2 linked regions of the Tamandua tetradactyla genome follow. The protein of the gene in region 2 binds, or shares a complex with, the protein of the main gene of each other region. Links are inferred from orthologs where the notes say so. Each region holds a gene or a part of one and is shown on either strand. Other genes may lie near its edges. The genes, in order: RNASE1 and RNH1.

Region 1 (8,223 bases), on a different chromosome or scaffold from region 2:
CTTTCAGTTCAGCCAGTTTCAAGCCCTCTTCCTGAAAAATTAACCAAATAATGAGACACTCACACACGACTCTCTCCAAGAGCATTTTACTCCCACTTGCTAGAAAGTCCTCCCATCCCTCTAGGTGAGTTGCCTAAACCTGATACTACTTTACAGAACAAACAAAAATTAGGGAGTGACCTGAAATCCTAGCAGTCCTGTCGTTAGATACTTGAGTTTCTTTAACCTAAAATACATTTGAAAAACGAATGGTTGCACCAGTTCTTAACTGCTCATTAGAAGATAATTTGTAATTAAACCATGAGCCAAAATGTATCCAGGAGGTACCAGCATGACATCCAGGATCATGGCTGACATTGCCTTGTTGTCCTACAGCACAAGGGAAGTTCAGCTCAGTGCCTGACATTGGCATCATAAAGGGATTTCACTGTAATCCAAAGAGAGATGCTCCTATGCACCCACCCTCCCAACCCTGACTTGGGGACTCCCCCTTCTCCAGCTCCACAGATTCTCTGCAGACTGGATACTCCCAAATTTTCCATCCCTGGGTGATGTTTGCCTGGCCCAAACTTTCTCTATCCTAGTCATATCCACCCTGGTTTCCTTCACTCCAACCCTCAAGCAAAAGTAGCTCCTGAGACAAGCTCCTGGGCACTTTACCTGGGTCTCCAGAAGAGAGCAGAAAGAAGGACAGTTTCTGAAGTCACTCAGTCCCGGTGTGTGGACACTTATAAGATTGCAAAGGGGCTTGGCTTCCAAGAAGAGAAAAGTAGGAGGAGCATCTTGAAGTCAGAGAGAAACAAGGACTGAGGAAGGGCTGGGGGTGGGTGGTGGGCAGCAGTCACCAGTCCACCCCCTTCCCAGGGTTGCTGGGGAAAGAATGAGTGTTTGCCTGTGAGGGAGCCAAGTGAAACTTAAATGTTTGCTGGTTCACAAGGAAGAGCAGAGACAGCCACTGGCTACCAGGGCTCATAGCTCAGGCACCATAGCAAAACCCTCATTAACACTGTGGGAATTATTTTCCCCAAATAGCCTTTAGAGGTTAACAAAGGGCGCTGATTCCTTTTTCAGGGTAGAGGTCCTGGACTATTTGTAGGTAACTCCAGGGAGTCAAAGGTCAATTTAGATTGCAGTAATGTGGGAGGTTTTACGATCTTATGGCACTATCTCTTAGGAAACAGTGTAGCCAGTAAAGCCTGTCAAAAGCTGCAACCAAGAAATTAAGAATTAAATGATTATGATTACTGTACCATCATATAGTTATTTTTCTTTCTATATTATAGAAAAGGCAGAAGTTGATATCTGAAATTACTGAAAATCAACTACTCTAATAACCCCTGTTTATACTTTCTATTGTATTGGTTGTTCTAGCTGGTGTCAACCTTCTATACCTACTATTGTAATGGTTATACTTTCTATTGTAATGCTTATTATAGCCTGCTCTCAGCTCTATTTATAGGTACTATTGTAGTGATTATTCTAGCCTGTTTATACTCCCTATTTTAATGACAACTATAGCCTAGTCTCAGGCTTATGCATACTTACTACTGTAATGGTCACAACTCCAACCCCCCATGTTTTATAAAAACCCTGAACTCCTTAGACTTACAAAGACAGATTTTTGAGCCAATAGGCCATCTTCTCTCCTGTTTCATGCATAGCATTAAATTCTTTCTCTTTGAAACCCTGGTGTCATGGATTGACTGTTACATGTATCAAGCACAGAACCCACAGCTTTTGCCTGGTATCAATTTGGCCACCCAAGAAGGGCAAAGATTCCTAAGAAGGAGTTCACCACCTGAAGTTCTGGAACCCTGGCAGGACAGGTAAATAAGTAATCAAGCTGCTTGTGGCCTCTAGACACCTTGTAGTCTGGAGGCTCGATAACCAGGTTTTTCTCTATTCTTCTGGCACTCCAGACCCTCAATGCCTTAAAAAGCTTCAAAGAGAGAAACAGTTCCAATTTCAAGTCCAGACATCTGACTGGGTGAGTGGGTCATCAAGGCAGAAGTGGATTGGGAAGTTAGAATGGTGGTTCATGTTCCCCGGGCCTGGGCTTGAGATCTAAGGCCCTGTTCCCACTACGACCCCCTGCTCTGACCTCTACACTCTTCTGTTTTCTGGGAACCATTCAGTATTGGCTTCAAGGCCCTGAACTGTGTTCGTCTGTATAGGCTCAAGGCCTGAGTCTGTCTGTTGAGTATACTCCTGGAAAATAAGTAATTCAGCACAAACTGGTATTCACTGACTGGGTAAGTGGGTTACCAAGGTAAAAGTGGATCAAAAAGTTAGCACAGAGGTTTAAGTACCCTGGACCTGGATTTTAAGATTCTGGGTCCCACTTCTAGAATGATTCCCCTTTGCTCTGAGCTCCTTTTCTGTTTTCGCTGTCATTCTGTATGGAGTTCATAGCTCTGACCTAAGTTTTTATGTTGCGTACACTCCTGGGAAAGAAGTAATCCAATAAATTAATTGGTACTTATTGAAATTTAGTAAGTGTTTAAACTTGTTTAACTGTTAATTGGTGTGTTACTTAGATATAATAAGATATAATGAGTTTAAGTCCTGTTTAATTGTTAATTGGAGTGTTGGCTTACTTATTAATTGGTGTGTTACTTAAATACATATGTAACATTGCATCTTTTGAATTTTTAGTTGGTTTGTTATTGCATTTGATTGTTCAAGTGTTCCCGGTTGATTACTGTTTATGGAATTCTTTAGAATGGGAAATTTTAATTCTAATAGCATTCCTAAATGTAGCCCTTTGGGCTGTTTTGGAAATTTGGAAAAATTTTAGTTATGCACCTATGAAAAAATAAGGATTAGTTTATTTCTGTAACACAGTCTGGCCTCTATGATTTAGAATCAGTAGAGAAGTGGCCTGAGAATGATTCTACAGAAAAGAATACTGTATTAAAGTTAGGGTCGTGCTGAAAAAGAGCAGATATGGGATAAGATGATATATGTCCAATCCTTTATTTGTCTCTCCCAGCCATCAGTGTTGATGAGAAAATATAAAATTTTACCTGTAAAGATTAATGGAGAAAAAAGAAAAATGTCCTACCTGATTCAAATTCGGAGTATCCTGTAGCACCTTTATTAACCTCCTTCAGCTGCTTCACCTGCACCCTGCATCCAAAGGACCAATAGATCGAGAAAGAAGGAAGCTCCCCTACTTCCTCCTCCTCCTCCTCTGTGTCCCTCCTTAACAAAGGAAAAAGATCCTGAGATAGAAACGGTCCCCCCTTTCATACCTGTACTCAGTTTGGCCAGAGTTCCTCTTTAAAACCAGGAGCAGAGCCACTGGCAAAACTTCTACCCTTCCAGCAAGTGCCTATGGGAATACAACAACAGGGAAGCCCAGGAAGACTTATAAAATGCAAGCATACCAGAAATGGATGAAAAAATAGAGTTCAAATTATAGGTTTATATTTCTATGTTTCTGTTTTTTTCTGTCTTAATTTTCTATTTATGCAATGTATATTTTCCTACCTCCAGATGGTAATACCAAATTGCCAAACAAAATTTCTTGAGAGCTCTATTTGAATTGCTTAAGAATAAATAAGCGTGCGTGTGTGTGTGTGTGTGTGTGTGTGTGTGTGTGTGTGTATAAATTTGTATTCCTGGAGTCCCAGAAAGGAAAAAGAAGAAAAAGGGAAGAAAAGAAAATAGAAAAACCCTCTAGGTACCAGGGTTCAAGGCCTTAGGACCTCTAATCACTAGAATTAGATTAGACATTATGGAAGAAACCGCCCCTAGAATTTCCCTAAAACAGCATAGGGTAGCTTCTGGAAAAGGCAAAAACTTTTCCAAAAATCTGGGTCATGGCTTTAGATGAAGTACATACAATAATTGGAAGCAATTAAAAGAAGGGCAAAGGAACTCTCATCAACACTAAGGCTATTTTAGGGGTCTTAAATCCCATCACCTTCATTTAAAACTTTGGAAACCAGGTCTCATTCTTTCTTTCTCACCTAACCCTGACCCCAGAGCCTAACCAGCCTAACCCTTGTTGGGGCAGAAAGAGGAGGGGAGGACGGACTTGGTTTAGATTTCTTTCTACCAGGCTGGAGAGGAAATGCGGAATAGGCCATGCTCTGAGAGAATTCCCCAATTTAAAATAATTTTTTCTAATAGTAACTTCGCAATGGCTTACAGCAGTAAATAATTTTTTATTAAAATATAAATCACCTTGGAATAGGGATCATTGAATAAGATCTAGCTACCAAATTTCAGTAAAGAAGAGAAAATGTCCTTGAAACTAAGAAAAAGTTTCCTGGATTTATGCTTGGGACAAATTAAACAACTGTTTTATATTTTTCAGCATCTCATGCGTTCAAGGTTGCTCATAGTTTTAGAATATTATGAAAGTAAAGAGGTTATTATTATTTTTATCTCTAATAGAAAAAGGAGCATTATATCTATTAGATCTTTAAGATGGTAAAAAATGCAAGTTTGTATTTGGTGAAATGAAATTATTAGTTTGACAAACCATTTTAAAAATGACTATGTTTTGTAAGATATTTAAAGACAGCATCAAAGATCTTTCTGGCAACTTAAGGAGTGTAAGCTTGTAAAGTATACAGGATGTGTTTAGTTAAAGAAAGGGGTGCAGTTTTGTCCTTGAGAATGTGTAGGACGAAGCCTGGATGTATATGGAAAGTTGTGGAAGTTTGTGGAAGTGAATTTTGTTTGTTGTAGTCAACACTGATTAAATTTGATAAGCTTGTCTAAGGGAGTGCAGGTTTGTAAAAGGCTGGTTTTCATGTGTTAAGACAAAACCTGAATGGAAATGGAAAGTTGTAGAAGGGTTATGAAAAGTTATAAAGTTTTTCTTAATCATCTGAGTATTCTGTCTAGAAGACAAAGATTTTATGTCATGTCAGAATAATGTCCATGTTGACACTTATGTTGACCATATCATTGTTTTAGGAGACTTTTTATTTTCAGTCTGGTTGAATAAGGAACCAAATATTGTTTCACAGTAATCCAGTTTCCTGTTTAGCATAGTGTTCACCCTGATGAGTTTTGACATTTTGCCCTCTCAAAGTCAAATCTTACAGGATGCGTTTTATTTCAAACTGTTGCAAAGGATTTGCTTTTGTTTTTTGCTTTTTTTTTCACCTAAAAGTGAGGTGATATCACATAGGAAGTATTTAGGAGGTATTTCAATAAGTAAAAGGGATTTTCTATTTTTTTGTTAGCTAAATTTGTATCAGCAAGATGCTAGTTACATATCTAGAGATTGCATAAGATTTCTAAAGACATTGTCTCTTAAAAAAGCACTTTAAAAGAGAAGCAAGGCAAATGCAAATTATGTTTTACCTGTTAATTAACATAACCCTGGTAAATGTGTAAAGGTAATACAGGAAAAAACTTCTGCTATGGTTTGTGGTTGATGACTGCAATATAAATCAACTGTCAAATATTTTTATTTCTGAAAATAGCTTTATTTAGAAAATGCTTATAAGAAAATTAGGACCTAGATAGTAAGTTCTTACAGCACTCACATTCCTGAGTTTTAACTGTTATTTCTATATTCTGAGATGCTTTCTCCTTATATATAACCTGGTAGTTCCCAGAAACATTGGGTATCTGAGTTCTCCAGCTCTGAAAGTTAGCATTACTTCATACAGTAACTGTTGAAGAAACTGAAAAAAGATCAGACTTCAATTAAAGATATGAATGAAGCTGATCTGGTTAGGACTAAGGTAAATCATAATGCAGGGTAAAAGATGATTTTGTCTATATATTTAAGACCTTAAATTCTGTGTGAGACCAAAGGAAGAGATATTAATTTTGTTCAAAACTTAAATTTTCTGTGGTGCACCATCTAATTTAACCTTTCTGGCAAGTTCATTTAAACAACTTAATTCAGATTTATGTGCCAGAGAACTTAGACTAGGGAATGAGATCTTAGTATTCTGTACAATTGATGTAATACCCTGATGCATTTCAGGATTTTGGGGGCATAAAATGAAGAAGTATTTCCAAGATCCCTTGAGGAACTGGGGGAAGAAAGTATTAAATTTCCCTACCTAAGGAATTCCTGCTATTCTTTTAAGCAAAAAGAGCTCCCAATTTAATAAGCCAAGCCCCAGATATTGAGGTTTGCCCTAATGAAACTTATTTTTGTAATGGCAAAGCTAAGCCTACTTGTAACTAAGACTAAGAATCCTAAGAGTCACCCTCAGAGAAACACTTTTGTTTCTCAGATGTGGTCTCTCTCTCTCTTTCTCTCTAAGCCAAACTCTGCAAATAAACTCATTACCTTCCCCACTACATGGGACATGACTTCCCAGGGTATAAGACCCCCTAGCAATGTGGGACATGACTCCCAGGGATGAGCCCAGCCCTGGCATCATGGGATTGGTTGACCAAAAGTGGGAAATGAAATAAAACAAAATTTCAGTAGCTATGAGATTTCAAATAGAGTCAAGAAGTCATTTTGGATGTTGCTCTTCTGTCGGTGTAGCCAGATACTACAAAATGCCACAGTATGTCATTCTCCAAGCAACAGGGTTCTATCTGAAATCTACAAAAGGTTATTTACTCAATTTACTTAGTAAGTTTATTTTTCAGAGACTTAAAGTCTCCAGATTGTTCCTATGCCAGTTAAGCTCTGAAACCCAGAGGTACCAGTCTCTTCAAGAACAACAACCAGTTTCATTCCTCTACCCCATAAAGATGATATTCCTTTTCAGCATGAAGAAGTTAGGACTGCTTTGCCCAGATATCTCTCAAGATTGAGGAATGGACAAAAATATAAGGGAGGAATTGTCCTGAGAAATTAAGAATTAGCAAATGATTATGATTATGAAATCATTATATAGATATTTTATGTTCTATATTGCAGAATAAGCAGAAGTTAATACCTGAAATTACTGAAAATCAATTAGTCTAACCTTTGTTTATAGTTTCTTATCATAATGTTATTCTAGTCTAGTCCTATCCCTGTTTATACTTACTATTGTAATGGTTTCTAAAGCCTAGTTTCAGCCTTGTGTATACTTACTATTGTAATGGTCACAACTCCAACCCCCCTTGTTTGAACCCATAAAAACCCTAAGCTCCTTAGACTCAGGGAGACAGATTTTTGAACCAATAGGCCATTTTCTCTCCTCCTTTGCACATAGCATTAAACTCTTGCTCTCTTTGAAACCCCGGTGTTATGGATTGGCTGTTATGTGCATCAAGCAGAGAACCCACCGCTTTTGTCTGATATCAAAGCTGTACCTTTTTATTCAAAACTGTCCCATTTCAGCCTCCTACCCAGGAAGCAACATTTCACCTCACATGATAGATCAATTATAAAAAGGCGAAAAAAAAAGCAAAAAGCTTTCTGGGCAGTGCAGTTTATCATTCCTTTAGAATATTACTGCTTTGTAAGATTTTCCCTCTGTCCATGACCTCCACCGCCATGCACTCAACAGCAAAAACTGGGAGAAAAAGTGTTCCTGACATCTGAGTCTTGTGTGAGGTCACTGAGGCCCAGATTGCACTTTCCCAGAGCATGGCCCCAACGTGCCTGGTGAGACCGCCAGGTGTAGTCAATAGTCTGGCCTTCAGAACACAGAGACGGCCCCAGTCTCCAGCCCCTGCTTCCCTTGGCACCTCCATTCATCTCTCCTGGCACCATCCCAGCTTTTCTCAACCCCAAGGACAGAGAATAGGCATTCTCAATATGTCCTTTCCCACCCTAAGTCCTAGCCCTGGATCTTCTTAAATGGAGGTCAGATATTGCCCAAGTATTTACCCAAGGTGTCTGCAGAAAGATAGAGACTTGGGAGTCTGTGGCTCCTGATTAAAGAAGACTTCATTCCCTTTAGCCTGGATTTGGTGGTCTCTTGATTTTGTAGCCCTAATTTTGGAAATGTACTTGCTATTGTAATGGTTATTTTGATTTAGTCCTAGCTTAGTTCCACCCCTTTACACGGTACTATAGTTATTCATAATTATGATTGAAATGGTAACAACTCTGCCTCCACTTGTTTGAATCCTTAAAAACCCTAAGCTTCTTAGACTGGGGAGACATATTTTAAGCTGAGAGGCTTAAAATTTATTTAGCGATAAACTAAATAGCATAACAATATTCTCACTTTTGAAACTTTGGTGTCATAGATTCACCTTTCTGTGCTTGGGTAGAGAACCCCATGTTTGATCAGTATCAGTTTCATCCATTCTAGAAGAACCTTCCCTGTCTCCCCATCATTCAAGTCTAGA
Region 2 (7,724 bases):
GGCAGCCACAAGTCCCTTTCCAACGGGAGCCCCCGGACCCTGCGTCCTGAGTCTCCCCTTCCACGCCTCTGGCTTTGCTCCCCTCGGGACCGGCCCCGCCTCCCCGGGCATCATTCACTCTGCAGCACAGCCCTTCCGCCCCACCCAGCTGGGGTTACCCGACTGCGGACACCCCATCACTCCCGTTTGTGCCCAAGGCCTCGTTATCCAGGGCTGCCGGAGGCCCCCAGAAGGAGCCGCGGGGGTCAGAGCCGACTGCTCGAAGCAGGGGCGAGGCCGGACCCCACCCAGCCAAGCTACTACGGACTCGGGTGCCCTGTCTGGGCCCGCCTGCTGCCCCGTGTCCCCAGGCTGCGCATCGCCCGGCTCCCGCCAGGCCGTGCCCCGCCGGAGGGGCCGGGGAGAGCGGCGCCCCCCACGATAAAACAGGGCTGCCTGCGCCCAGGATTTGGGGGTTCGGCAACCCGTCCCCTCAGCGTCCCCGGGAAACAGCACGTGGTCGCAGCCATCGCCGGCCAGGCGGGTCACGGGTCACGCGCGGGGCCTGGCGCAGGCCGCTGGCTCTGAGGCCGGAGGCACGGCCGCTCGGACCCCAGGTGGTGGGTGCGGCTACCCGAGCGAGGCCAAGCGAAGCCGAGGCGGAGCGCGATGGGCCGGGCCCGGCTCATGACCCTCAGGCCCGCAGGCCGCCTGCCCCCGCCCCCGCCCCCGTGAGGCTCCCTGCGCCTGGCGGGAACCAGGCGGCTTCGGGGACGCGCAGCCGGGCCCGCCGCGACCCCCGCCCGCCCCAGGCCTGGGGTCCTCCGCCCGCCCGCAGACGCCGCTCCCGACGCTCACCGCGCGCCGTCGCCGCCCCGGGAGGCCGTGGGGAAAGGCGGGGTCCGGGCCGCCGCGCGTCACGGGGCGGGGCCTGGGCAGTTTCGAGTCACGGGGTGGGGGCGGGGCCGCCGCGCGTCATGGGGCGGGGCCTGGGCAGTTTCGCGTCACGGGGCGGGGGAGGGGGCGGGGCCTGGGCAGTTTCGCGTCACGGGGCGGGGGCGGGGCCGCCGCGCGTCATGGGGCGGGGGCGGGGCCGCCGCGCGTCACAGGGCGGGGCGGGGTCTCGCACTTCCGGGTCCCAGGCGCGCGCCCTCGCCCCCCGCTCTCAGCGCGGCCCCCATCGCGGGAAGCCCCCTCCGCTTGCCCCACCCGCGCCGCCGGCCGCGCGCACGGGGATGAAGCTGGGAGCTCTGACGCCCGTCTCACTGCCCGACCTGACCGAGCGACGCTGCGGGTCCCTCCAGCTTGCACAGGCCTCACGGAGCGCGCCCAGGTGCGCGGCACAGGCGCCTGCGGGAACCCGCGGCGCGCCGGAAGGCGAGTAAACCCGTGAACAATCTAGATGCCCAGCCGGAGAAAGAGGGCTGGACGGCGCCCACCCAGACGCTATCCGCGGAAAAACCTATAATTAACACGGAAAGACCTTCAAGGACAGTTTTAAGTTTTAAAACAATGCACAGTGAGACATTTTAGCAACTCTGAAAGTACTCTTGAGTTCTTTCGTTCCCCCGCATGGATAGGTCACCCACCTCCAGTGGACAGGACCGCGCCCACACACGTGGACGGGCTCACCCTCCGTGAGGCGCCCACCAAAGCCAAAGCCTGTGCTGTGGGTTCAAATGTGTCACCCAAAGGCCACAGTCGCGTGCGAACCCCGGTACCGCTTAGGGGGCTTTGTAGATGTAATTATCTGAGATGAGGGACAAGGTGGGCCCTAAGTCCAATCGGACTAGACGGGGAAGTGGGAGCGCAGGTGAGAGGGCACGTGACCATGGAGCCCCCACTGGGGCGATGTGGCCACAAACCCAGGGGCTCCTGGGTCCCCCAGGAAGCACGGCCAGCCCACACCTCCATTTTGGAATTCTGGCCCAGAACTGTACAGGAATAAATCCCTATTGCTTTAAGTCACCTGGCACGTGGGCCTCTGCATGGAGGCCCCAAGCAATTGATACAGCATGTTTCTGCCAGGCTCGCCCACAGGTGTGGGGCGCTTTCCTGAGGGTTCCTCACAAACCCTAAGGGGAGAAATTAGGGTGTAGGGGACGGTTACGGTGGCTGCACCAGGGAGACAGCCTCCTTGCTCCCTGGCCCGCGGGAGGAGACGCCTGACAGCTCTGGCCTGGGCCCGGCTGCTTCCACCTGTGTCCCTGTGATGTAAAAACCCTGTGGCTGAGCCTCACTTGTACCCGTATCCTGGTTTTCAACTTTGGAGTCTGATCACTAAAGACGGCCCTGATGGTGATTCATGAAGGGTCAGGTCAGCCCAGGACTGCCCCACCCCACGTTTGAAGTTCTGTGGACAGAGGAAGCTCCGTGGGAGCCGAGCGGGCCGCCTGCAGCGCGGCACCTGGACCGCAGCGGCCGGCACATGCCTGCAATTAGATCATCCGTATCGCGTGGTCTCGGCCGTCCCTCGAGCCCCCTACCCTCAGCCCTGCGCGTCCGAGATGCTGACACCATCAGGGTTTGGGTCGGGGCCCCCAGACTGCCGGACTCCGACGGGGCGCGGGGAGGGCAGCTTTCCCTGCACTATCCAGGGCGCCACTGAGAGATCCCGACCAGGGGAGGGGGTGTGGGAGGCAGAGGGGGTGAGGCGGGGAGGGTGTCCAGAAGCCAGGCCAGGAGGGGCCCTCCGCCCGGGGCTACCAGGCCCAGGGGTCAGTCTGCGGGAGCCTTTGGCCAGGCCAGGTGTTGCCTACGCGCCTTACGGGCCGCCAAAGGAGCAGGGGGCTCGGGGCCGCCGGCGCGGGTCTGGGGGCGCAGACCCACCACCCCGGCCGGCGCTCCCAGCGGGCCTCCCCGGAGGGCGGGGGCGACGCGCGGGGGGCTCCTCGGGGCGGGAGGACGCCCGCGGGGCAGTGAGGCCGCAGCAGCGCGAGGGCACGCATGCGCAGGGACCCGACTGAGGCCGGTGCCGGAAAGGGCAGCCAGGACCCGCCGGCCGCATAAGCGACCCGTAGGCTCGGAGCGTAACTGACCTAGGGGCGACCGACGGGCGACAGACTGCCACTGGCCTGGGACGGACCGCAGGACGGCGGCTCCTCTTCGAATCGTGGCGTGGCTGGCGGCGCCGGCAAAGGGCAGGGAGCCGGCGCGGCCAGCTGGGGAGGGGCGGGGCCTGCGGGGGGGCGGGGCCTGCTGGGGAGAGGTGGGGTCTGCTGGGGAGAGGTGGGGTCTGCTGGGGAGGGGAGGGGTCTGCTGGGGAGAGGTGGGGTCTGCTGGGGAGGGGGGGGTCTGCTGGGGAGAGGTGGGGTCTGCTGGGGAGGGGAGGGGTCTGCTGGGGAGGGGAGGGACCTGCTGGGGAGGGGAGGGGCCTGCTGGGGAGGGGAGGGGTCTGCTGGGGAGGGGAGAGATTTGCTGGGGAGAGGTGGGGCCTGCTGGGGAGGGGAGGGGTCTGCTGGGGAGAGGTGGGGTCTGCTGGGGAGAGGAGGGGTCTGCTGGGGAGGGGAGGGGTCTGCTGGGGAGAGGAGGGGTCTGCTGGGGAGGGGAGGGACCTGCTGGGGTGGGGAGGGGACCCGCGCCGATCGAGCCTTAGGCTGACACGGTCCGAGCCCCCTCTCTCCGCGTCTACGGACTCGCGGACTGACGGACTCACTGACTGACGGACTGACCGGCCGACAACAGTGTCCGGGGAGGGCGAGGCGGGCGGGGCTGCCGGTAACTGCGCCCGGCCGCGGGATGTTTCCGCGGAAGCGGCGGTGGCCCCGGTGCGCCCTTGAGGCGCGGCGGGGCGCGTGAGGGACGTGGGCGGGGGCGAGGACGCGGAGCGGGCCGCCCCTCCCTCTAGTGGCGGGGGCCCCTGCCCGCCGCGGGGCTGCGGGAAGCGCCCAGGTCCTGCTGTCACGTGCGTCCTCCGTCACGCCGCGGGCACTGAAACGGTCGGCGCCGATGGCGTCTATGCTGCTTGCACGAGCCTTGTCCCGTGGAGCGTGAGGGCCGACCGAGGAAGCGGGGCGGGCAGGGACGCGCGTGGGGTACAGGGAGCGCGGGGTCTGCACTTGTCCCTTTGAACCGGTCTGGTCCGCCCAGGATAGGGTCCAGAGCTCTCAGCGGCCCCCCGACCCCCGGCCCATCCACTTCCGTTCCTCTCGCCTTCACCCCCCGCCCCCACCTCCCGGAGTGGGGAGAGCTCAGGGTGTGTCCTGCCGGTCCCTCAGTGCCTGCCTCGACCCCACTCGTGGGCTCACGCGCGAGGCCAACACTGGGGCGGCTAGGAAGGGGGGCGTCTGTCCCTGCTCCACTTTTGTAAATGCGATTCTCTTTAAAACTCCCTTTTTATGAGCTGGAAAAGCTCACAGAAAAGTGCACGTCCTGTGCGTGGACAGCCGCGTTTCACACGCAGTGGTCACGTCAGCGTGCCACTTCTGGTGTGGAAAACACAGGTACGATGCAGGGCTCGCGGGGACTTGAGGGGGAGCGTGCTCGGTGGTGAGTGGGGGGCGGCCGTATCCGGACGTCCTGGAGCCAGGGCTGCGCGGCCGTGTGCGCGCTCCAGACCCCAGGCCTGTGACAGGCGTGCAGCCGGGGCCTCGACGGGGGGCCTCGACGGGGGGGGGGGGGGCCTCGATGGGGGGCCTCGATGGGGGGCCTCGGCGGGTGCCCCCCTACTTCCCCCTCCCCCTCCCTCCCTAATAAGCCAAAGCCCTGGGCCCAGCGGCGTTGAGCGGGACGGGAGGACAGACGGAAGCAGGTCTCAGGGGCTTCAGCGACAGCACGACGCGTACAAACGCTGTCATGCGTCCCGGAAGGGGGCAAAAAGAATACGTGAAGAAAAAATGGCCCCAAATTTCCCAACGCTTATGAAAGAGCTAAATTTCCATGTCCAGGAAGCCGCGCACTGCAAAGGCTAGCGGAGCCACGCGGAGGGGTCAGCGCCGCAGACACGCGACCCTGAGAGCAGCGAGAGAAACGCGATGTGCCACGTAGAAGGACCCTCCAGACGAAATTCCACTTTCCCTTCAGAACCATGGAAGCAAGAAGCAGTGGGATATATGGGGGCTGAAAGAGAAAAAGTGCAGCCGAAAATTCTTTATTTTTCTGTCCTTCAAAAAGAAATCTTTTGAACTAAAAATAGTTTTTAAAGTTCACAGATAAAACAGAAGCTGAGCATGTTCCCCACCACAAGAGACCTGCCCTACAAGAACTACTAAAGGGAGTTCTGCAGGTTGAAAGGAAAAGACAGGAGATGCTTAGAGCAGCATGAAAACAATAAGTCATTACTAGTGAAGGTAACTAAAAGAGTAAATGCAAAACCCGGTAGTACCGTGTCCTCAATGTACGACGCTACTCTACTTCCTATAAGGGTCAGAATATAACTGAACTTTAAAACAGTCATATTTCCTGATAATGGACATGAAAAATATAAAGAGGTATTTGGGGACAAAAACAATATTAGGAGAAAAAGGGACGGATACAGGAGCAGAGAACGGGTGTGCTCAGAAGTTAAGCTGGTATCTTTTCAAATTAGTGGGTTGTAGATGTAGGCCGTGTGATGACAAGCCCCAGGCTAGCCACAAAGAAACTATTACAGAAATAGGAACGGAATCTGTGAGAAACATCCCCAAAGATCAACTGTACAGAAAAAGAGGCTGCAGTAAAGGAAAAGAGACAAAAAAGATAAAAGATGTACAAAAAACAAAGGACAGGATGGCTAAAGCAAGTGCTGCCTTCCCAGTAAAACCACCGAGTGTTAATGGACTGAAGACCCGAGTCAGAAGGCAGAGTGGCCGCCTGGATGGAAAGCACCACCCGTGTGCGTCCCGCACAGGCCTCAGGCCCGAAGAGCCCGCGGGCTCACGGTGGAAGGACGGAAAGGAGACTCCGTGCAGGCAGAAGCGGGAGGAGCTGGGGGGCTCCACTGACATCACAAAGCCGGCTTAGGGGCGAAAGCAGTTACAGAAACTGCTAGAGCGAGATGGTAATAAAAGGGCGCCCCACGCAGAGGGAGCAGCGTGGACGGTGCACCCATCCACGGCGACACTGCCGGGGGGCGCGGGCGGTAGGAAACAGCTGCTCGGAAAGGCGGAGAAATGCAAGCGGGGACTCGACTGCGCCCGGAGGCCATGGCTGCGGCCCGGGACCCCCCCAGCCGGGAGTCCTTCCACGCAGGAGCGGGCAGGCAGACGCACGATGTCCTCGCAAGCCCCGCTGGGGTGGACGAGGGGCGGCCTGGGCCGGCAGCCCCGATCCTGTCTGCACCAGGCGCCCCCCACCCCCAGGTCTCCACCCCACGTCCCCACCCCGTCCCCCAGCCTCACACCCACGCCCCCAGCCTGGGTCTTGCTGAGGGAGAAGTGTACCCCGCCTAAGGGCTGGTGAAGTTGAGCCCTTCAGGGCTGGGCGCTTGGACGCTCCCCAGCAGGAGGCCGCAACCTCACCTTTGGACCTTGCAGGACACAGGGCCCACTCGCAGCCGGGGCTGGCAGGTGCCAGCACACGCAGACGTGGGAGAGAAGGGAGCCCCCACAGGAGAGGGGGAGCAGCAGACCAGCCCACCCATCCCTCCGCCCCCCCCCTCGGCCCCCTTGAACAGCACTGCCCCTGCACCGTGGGAACTACTGAGAAACCAAGTGCCACAAACCTTCACACCCAGCAACTACAAAAACCTGACGTGAGTGAGGGAAATCACTTTCAAATTAGCCTTATCAAGATAATCAGATGCCAAGAAAACAGCAAAAAAATTACAAGGCACATGAGAAAAACAAGAAGCTGTGGTCAAGCCAAATGATCAGATTAAAAAGCCAGAGGACAGAGTGGAGAGGTTATCCTGGAGGTTATTGTTACGCATTACATAGATACCCCTTTTTAGTTTAGGGTGTATTGCAGGGGCTGGAGGGAAGTGCCTGAAACTGCTGAGCTGTGTGTAGCCTTGATTCCTGGAGATGATTGTATAATGATACAGGTTTCACAATGTGACTGTGTGATTGTGAAAACCTTGTGTCTGAGCTCCTTTTATCCAGGGTGTGGGCAGATGAGTAAAATAAATGATAGGGGGAGATAAAGGGTAAAAATTGGGTAGATTGAAATACTGTTGGTCCATGAGAGGGAGGGGTAAGAGGTATGGTATGTATGAGCCTTTTCTTTTCTCGTTTTATTTTTCTGGAGTGATGCAAATGTTCTAAAAATGGTCATGGTGAGGAACACATACCTATATGATATTGTGAACCACTGATTGTATAATATAGTTGGGTTGTATGTGCATGGAAATTTCTCAATAAAAATATTTTTTTAAAAATTAAAAAGAACATTTCTTAAAGCCAGAAGAGACAAAGAATTTGGAATTCATAATCAAAGATGTTCAAACAAATCTCCTAAATAACTTCAGTGACTTGGCTAAAGAGATAAAGGATATCAGGAAGACACTAGAAGAACATAAAGCAGAATTGGAAAGAATAAATTAACAGCAGATCACACAGAACTGAAAGGTATGGTAGATCAAATTTAAATTACACGAGACAAAGCGGATTTGAAGAGGCAGAAGAAAGAATGAGAGAACTACAGGACACAGCAACAGAATTTGAATGCACAAAAGAAAAAATGACAAAAAGATGGAAAAACTGGAGTTGGATCTCAGGGAAATGACTTAACAACACAAAGCTCACAAACATAAGAATCAAAGGTGTCCCAGAAGGAGAAACAGTAAAGGGCTGGGAAGATTGCTTGAGGAGACACTTGGGGAATATTTC

Evidence for each region.
Region 1: the proteins of RNH1 (region 2) and RNASE1 are in contact, whole or in part, in a crystal structure (PDB 3TSR), measured with the Mus musculus proteins. The link is inferred for Tamandua tetradactyla from reciprocal best matches to the Homo sapiens genes RNH1 and RNASE1. Residues at the interface, in NP_001165571.1 of Mus musculus: Cys7, Asp32, Thr60, Asn89, Asp117, Glu145, Tyr146, Asn174, Glu202, Trp257, Trp259, Glu283, Ser285, Trp314, Lys316, Glu340, Glu397, Ser401, Asn402, Gln426, Val428, Tyr430, Asp431, Ile432, Tyr433, Trp434, Thr435, Asn436, Glu437, Arg443; in NP_035401.2 of Mus musculus: Arg26, Glu27, Lys32, Gln36, Pro48, Thr49, Gln53, Lys56, Arg57, Met60, Asn62, Gly63, Ser64, Cys65, Lys66, Pro67, Val68, Asn92, Lys94, Asn96, Leu111, Lys112, Gly113, Asn114, Ser115, Lys116, Asp121, Ala134, Glu136, Val143.

What each region holds. Positions count from the first base shown.
Region 1 is NC_135340.1:35,797,652-35,805,874, reverse strand, and holds the start of RNASE1 (ribonuclease pancreatic), read right to left. Parts: upstream 3,087-8,223; 5' UTR 3,065-3,086; intron 1,988-3,064; exon of another isoform or gene 1,863-1,987; intron 1,827-1,862; exon of another isoform or gene 1,518-1,826; intron 783-1,517; exon of another isoform or gene 661-782; intron 1-660. UniProt on the Homo sapiens protein: Endonuclease that catalyzes the cleavage of RNA on the 3' side of pyrimidine nucleotides. Acts on single-stranded and double-stranded RNA.
Region 2 is NC_135335.1:362,164-369,887, forward strand, and holds the start of RNH1 (ribonuclease inhibitor), read right to left. Parts: upstream 3,167-7,724; 5' UTR 3,018-3,166; intron 1,365-3,017; exon of another isoform or gene 1,254-1,364; intron 903-1,253; exon of another isoform or gene 838-902; intron 326-837; exon of another isoform or gene 1-325. UniProt on the Homo sapiens protein: Ribonuclease inhibitor which inhibits RNASE1, RNASE2 and angiogenin (ANG). May play a role in redox homeostasis. Required to inhibit the cytotoxic tRNA ribonuclease activity of ANG in the cytoplasm in absence of stress.